Linked DNA regions of Danio rerio. The main gene of each other region encodes a partner of the protein of the gene in region 2 in a complex. Links are inferred from orthologs where the notes say so. Each region holds a gene or a part of one and is shown on either strand. Other genes may lie near its edges.

Region 1 (4,094 bases), on a different chromosome or scaffold from region 2:
ATAAAAAACAGATATAATTTATAAAATTATATATAATATATACAAATTACATTTTGATAAATGGAAAGTTTATTAAAAATCTATAATATTCCATGACGTGGACAAAAAAATAAATAAATAATACTGACTTTAAATGTCTGAAATAGACCTTTTAAATGTCTATGATATTCCAGAAACTCTATTACCTGTGGGAACCCTTAATACAAATGTAAAGAGACCAAATCATAGTTTTTTTATTATATTATATATCTACACTCTGTATTAATTACTGTATATTACTATATACTGGATGGATGGATGGATGGATGGATGGATGGATGGTTGGATGGTTGGATGGATGGATGGATGGATATGCAGATAGATAGATGGATGGATGGATGGATGGATGGATGGATGGATGGATGGATGGATGGATGGATGGATGGATGGATGGATGGATGGATGGATGGATGGATGGATGGATGGATGGATGGATGGATGGATGGATGGATGGATTGATTGATTGATATTTTGTTGTGGTTGTTGTTAATAAAAATTACCTTGGTATTACCAGGATGAGCTGGCCAGCACTGAACTGGCTCGCATAGCGGAAGAGTTTGATGAAGAGGGAAACCAGACGGAGGAACTGGGAAACAAGGGTGATGATTTGCTGGCCATGATGGATGAGCTCTAAAGGTCAGTCGCTATCAACAGTGAGTCAGAAAGCATGTGGCAGGTCTGAAAGGTCACAAAAAATATGCTCTGTTAGAAAATGCCTGACATATTTACTTTCATAAACATTATTAAGAACAAGCTGGAAGGCATATTCAGCTGTCATCGGTTCCCTTCATGGTTTTATTTGCTTCACACTTTATTTGAAGTGTTGTATTAACATTTTTCACTACTTTTTAATGATAAAACATTTAGTTTTAGTTTTTCATAATTTTCAAATAATACATGGTATGTTAAATACAGAAATGTAACGAACCTACATTTCAAACGAAGCTAACGTTATTCTGACAGGACGATGAAATTAAAATGTCGACTACAGCAGTCAACGCGTCTTAAAATAACAGTATATATCAACTCGCCCAACATATAGAAAGCAGCAGCATTTTAGGAGATAACTTACACTGAATTTAAAAACAAAAAGTTTGTAAACTAACCAGTTTCTCCGATTAAATATTGACGTTGTACACGTAATGAGCCACCAGAGGGCGCGCGAACGATTTTAATCCGGTACGTCTTGATGACGTAATTATCAGCTGCGACAAAGCGCGGTGCTCGAAACCATTAGGACGTAAACATGTTTTGAGCATGTAGACAACACCACGGAAGGTAATAAATGTTTTATTCACTCTCTAGTTCAGCAGCTTTTTATGAGTGGCTGTGGTTTTGTTAAAAAATTAAACAGTCATGTTCTCGGTTGAGTTGCAACTCTCGCGTGCTCCATTAAGTCGTAAAGGTTTCCTGTTCAGCTAGTTAGTAGTTAAGTGGATACTGTACACTGGTAAGTCAGCTACTATCCAGTGTGCAATCGTCATTTCTGCTTATTTCGGTATTTAACTTTGGAACCAATGCAGAGTCAGTATAAAATGCACAAAACCTTAACTACACACACATACATTAATAAATAAAGCTGCGGGTTAACTATGTTTATATATATATATATATATATATATATATATATATATATATATATATATATATATATATATATATATATATAAGCTATTGTTAAATTATTAGTAACTAATACAGTACAGTCACTAATATTATCTTTTCTAAATTTGATTGTAATGCAATAATTTGCACCTCTGAAACATTCATTATTGTGAAAAGGGCTGTACAAATAAGCCTGAATTGAATACTAGCCTTGGTATGCATACTATACTTATTGATTTAATGTTTAATATAATATAAAAAATTATCAAACAATTAAATAATAGTTGGCTAAAATTGGCACAAAAATCTTCCTACACATACACAAATAGACATATGAAGACATTAAAAAGTGCAAAAACGTATGGAAACATAATATATTATGTATGTATGTGTATGTTATGTTATTAACGCGGATTAAAATTCATTTAAAGACATTTGACAACATATTTCACATTTCACCTTTGTAAACAAACCTGCTTTGGATATTTTCTATCAATTTCATAAAAGGCGGTGTGCGATGTGTCTGTCAGCGGAGCCGTAAACCTGCAAGCATGCACTTGCCCACAACATTTAAATACAATTATTCAGCTTATGACAGACATTTTTTACATTTATGTGAGGCAACCATTTTCCATATACTTCTTTGAGATTTACAGATATACAGTTCTCAACATAATCGAGTACACCCCATTTTGAAAATGAATATTTTTATCTATTTCTTGGTGAGTATAGGGCATATATTTTGGTGCATTTGAACAAAACAGATTATATATATATATATATATATATATATATATATATATATATATATATATATATATATATTTAATATTTTACTTACAGAACATTTTTAGAAATTTTAGATTCTACATTCAAATTAATGTAAAATATTGAGAAAATAATTACAAACTACTTTTGGACTGTTATCATAAGTTATTTTGTTAGATTAGCTCCAGATTTGGCTTCAGTACTAACTAATACAATACATAAATATAATATTCATAAAGCTTCTTGTAGAAAACATTAATTTAAATGAGAGATCTGTGGGGCTGTACTTGTATATGTTAAGCACTGTATTTGCTGTAAAACATCTGCGGATTTATGCAGAATGATTTTAGGAGTATCATTACAAAAATCTTAATAAATTAAATAAAAATAATACTGTTTTAACTTGTATTTAATGTTTACAGTGCAAATCCAACTAGATCCACTTATTCGGTAAACAAAGTCTCTCATATAATATATCTACTAACAGATGGAACATATTAATTTACATACTGTATTGTACATAAATCATATGATAATTTTCATATTAGTCAATAATACTGAAATTAATTTCAAAATTGAATGCATATACAAAGTAAATAAATAGACTCAACGATGCACTAAAAATCTGCGTCATGCTCCACATGTTGATTCTGTGTGGGTCTAGTCATTACGTAGTATTATAATCAGATATTATATCACACAAAAGAAATCGTCTGATTGTTTATGATTATTTTGTGCACAGATCAACATGGACGTGAGCCATTCGATACGTGAACGCACCATCGCTGAGAACAGTCTGGTGATCCTCCTGCAGGGTCTGCATGGACAGGTGACCACAGTTGACCTGCGAGACGAGAGCACAGCGAGGGGCAGAGTGATAAATGTGGACGCTTTCATGAACATCCGGCTGGAGAATGTCCTATACAGGGACAGACGGGGACGCAAGTCGAGCATGGATGATCTCTTCATTACTGGCAGAAACGTGCGGTACGTCCACATCCCTGACCAGATCAACATTATAGAGACAATAGAGGCGCAGCTCTCCAAAATACACCGCGTGCGAAACTTCGGAGCGGGCGGTGGACGGAAGGAGTACTCAAAGAAAAAGTAGCTGATGCTTGCAGTGTGTTTTTGATGGGAATGCTCGTTGGTGAATAGTTTGTTTATATTAAAATGGTTTCTGGGTCATGTGGGAAAATGACTTGTGTTTATTTTGAGCGTCTCTGGTGGTTTGAGAATTACATAAGCAGATTAGTGAAATGACTATTGACTGATGAGTTATTTAATGTGGCGTTGTTTGTTTAAACTACACGCTTTGCTTTTTCCCATGTCAATATTGCTTAGCCAAAAGTACACGTATATTTAAGGTTATATGCAAATATTGGTACACTGATGCATTTAACACTTTGTTTACAGTGTAATGGGAATGTTTATTTTCAAAATTGGCGCTTTTAAATATTTGTAATGACTTCATGAGATCAAATGAATGACTATTAAATTGGATATCTCATTCATTTTCCTTCAGCTTAGTCTGATTATCAGGGGTTGCCACAGTGGAATGCACTGCCAACTATTCCAGCAGGAAGAGCCCCGTGCTGTTGGGGGGGGGGAGGGTTAGGACGATTCTAAGGACTCACACAGTTTTGGGGCCCCCAGAGACATTATTAGGGGCCCTAATGACC
Region 2 (2,880 bases):
TGCATTTCTACCATTCCACAAAGAAATCAATACTATGGTGCTGGGTTATTTAGGTTAGATAATAATCGAGCGGGCAATCTGACCCGCTCTTACTGTTTAAACCCGAGTCTCTGGGTACTTGAATAAGGTAATGCAAAATGTCTTGTATCAAGTGTAGGAATAAAATGACGTGAAGCAATGCATATTGACATGTGACTGAATAAACCGCACCATTATAGTTAATGTATGCAGCAAATGAAAATAACAATCAGACGTCAAGACAAAAAAGCCTTGAGTGCCACATGCAATTTCCAGCCTCAAAAAGCCCAATTAACCCATTTATATGGTTTTACCAAAAATCCATAGAGACCTGCTGCAATTTGTGCACTTAAAGAGAGAAATGCCTAACAGAAAACTATTTAAGTGTGACATGAAAATAGGAGCATCTACTGGCGAGCCTTAGTTTCAGTGAGACTGACAGATTGACTTTCACTTTGAATATCAGCAAATGATTTCATAAATGTATTAAGATTTCCTCTTGATGATTTATAAAATGTGTAACAAAATAGACTTATGCTTACTGTGCATCAGTGTTTTACTTCCCCCTAGAGGTCATTCAATGCAAAAGCAAACGGTATGTCTGTTGTTTAATAGATCAACAAATTGACCCAACACTATTTAAAAAGAGTTTATTTTACTCAATTTTTAACAATTTCATTCAGTGATTTACATATCAATATGATACACAAAACATTTCTGGGTAATTTCCAAAACAAGTGTTTAATCCTGTTGTATGTTCACAAGTAGTACGTTTTCTCCTCGTATGAACAGCTGATTGACGTGACGCGTGTGCACTCTTCCATACTCCACTTTAGGCCTGCTTTCAGGTTTTTGCATCTCTCTTGATGATGTACTCTTGTCTATCTCGGAGAGCTCGGGTTTCTCCTTGTTGTGTCTGGAGTCGGATCTCCTGCTTTGGTCTTTGAGTTGAGATGAACCGCTGCGTGGGTCTGACTTTAAGAGTTTATCTCCTTGCTTCCTCTCCACGGCACTGAGGGCTGCAGTCTCTTGCACTTTTAGCTTTTCAAATAGCTGTAATAGAAGATTAATTAGATTTCCAAAGCAATAGAATTATTTTCAAAACTGTAAAAAAAATAAATAATAAAAAGCTTTAATCCTTCAGTAAAAATTAAATGTTGATTAAAGATCAAAATGTTAGTTGTAATGGCGTTTTCTTCTATGTTGTAGTGTAAATTTGAGTGAAACTGCTTCCCAAGCTTGGCTTTCTTTTCAACTGGTAACACTGATTCTGGAAATATATTTCACATTAATTTTTTCTTAGCAGTGTTGGGGGTAACGCTAATTGTGTGATAATGTTACAACGAAAGAAATAATATTGCTAAATAAAGAGTAAAAGTAATGCATTACTTAAAATTATTAAGTAATAATATTTGAGTTACCTTTATAATTTAAAAAGCAAAGCCAGTTACTTTTAAGTTAAATTAACCCTCTCAGGCTCAAATAAATTTTTAGAAACAGGAAAAATCTGATATTTGGGGAAAATTATCATATGGCGTTCTGGGAGATTGCAGATTTGCAACATTGGCTCAGTGTGGTAATTAGACACTGACGACTGAATATATGAAAAAATATTTTTTTTATACAATTTATACAAATTTTTTAATAAAAAAAATTTTATATATACAACTTTTTAAGCAATGTAACAAATTGCTTTTCAGTGGCAGAACAACAACAAAAACAATATGGGATCTAAATCCAGTATCTCAAATCCTCATCGAGTAGGTCATGTTTCCAAGTCACTTTGACATGTGGTACTCCAAGAAACTTTTTTTTTGTGTGCGTGTCATCTGGTGAGCAAGTGGGGAAACTGTTTGTTGCAAATGGACAACCAAGTCCTGCAGTGGTACTTCTGAGTAAAAAAACTTATAAAATATGTATCTGGAGTAATAAGGTAGTTAATTTTTAACTGTTGCAAATCTGCAACGCCTGCCTTGAAAGGGTTAACTTTAAAAAGTACTTATATCTAAAATTTATGTAGTTATGTTGAGTCAATAAGAGAATGTTCTCCCTGCGGGAACAGACATAAATGAAAAAGCCAGACACTTATAATTCTGCAATGGAAGTATTCTCATTTTTGTCTCAATGGACAGTGATTTTACTTAACTAATAACTAGGCCCACACGGCATCTGCGCGAGCAGAATTCCAGATTTTTAGCCCTTCATTGAGTCTGTTTATTTATTTATTTGTGTAAATTTATATTAATTCAGTTTTTTAATTAATTTCAGTAATATTATTGGCTAATATGAAAATATTCAAATGATTTATTTAAAATATAGTTTGTAAAGTAATATGTTCTGCCTTTTAGTAGAGATATTATATGAGAGACTTGCTTTGTTTACCAAGTGGATCTAATTGGATTTGCATTGTGAACATTAAATACAAGTTAAATTACTTTTTTGTTCATATATTAAGGTTTTAGTTCAAAATTCAGATTTCTAACAAAATTCTAAGCACAAATAGCAAAAAATGTCTGCAGATTTCCAGCCCATCAATGAGTCTATTTATTTACTGGTGTAAATGCATATTTTTTCAGTTTTCAAACTAATTTCAGTAATATTGACTAGTATGAAAGTGTTCCTTCCTGTATAAAGTGTGTAGTGAGGAGTTTTACAGCTTTAAAACACCTATAAAAATTGTAAAAAAAAAAAAATTAAGTGGACAACTTTGCAGGTTTTGCCAATTGCAGGTTATTTTTGGAACGTAACTCCTGCGTATAATGAGGGACCACTGCAACTTAATATTGTGATGCATTACTTTCAAAAGTAGGGATATACTGTATATATACACAGTTGAAATAAAAAAAATTAATGAATAAAACC

Evidence for each region. Proteins that work in one complex are often made in the same cells at the same time.
Region 1: lsm11 (region 2) and lsm10 share a complex: the UniProt entries of both Homo sapiens proteins name them as parts of the heptameric ring U7 snRNP complex. The link is inferred for Danio rerio from reciprocal best matches to the Homo sapiens genes LSM11 and LSM10.

Annotation. Positions count from the first base shown.
Region 1 is NC_133194.1:4,215,234-4,219,327, forward strand, and holds lsm10 (U7 snRNA-associated Sm-like protein LSm10), read left to right. Parts: upstream 1-1,244; 5' UTR 1,245-1,317; intron 1,318-2,117; exon of another isoform or gene 2,118-2,200; intron 2,201-3,154; 5' UTR 3,155-3,160; coding exon 3,161-3,523; 3' UTR 3,524-3,600; downstream 3,601-4,094. Other genes in the region: protein OSCP1a, read left to right, coding at 554-673. UniProt on the Homo sapiens protein: Appears to function in the U7 snRNP complex that is involved in histone 3'-end processing. Increases U7 snRNA levels but not histone 3'-end pre-mRNA processing activity, when overexpressed. Required for cell cycle progression from G1 to S phases.
Region 2 is NC_133189.1:39,991,866-39,994,745, forward strand, and holds the end of lsm11 (U7 snRNA-associated Sm-like protein LSm11), read right to left. Parts: intron 1,072-2,880; coding exon 760-1,071; 3' UTR 653-759; downstream 1-652. UniProt on the Homo sapiens protein: Component of the U7 snRNP complex that is involved in the histone 3'-end pre-mRNA processing. Increases U7 snRNA levels but not histone 3'-end pre-mRNA processing activity, when overexpressed. Required for cell cycle progression from G1 to S phases.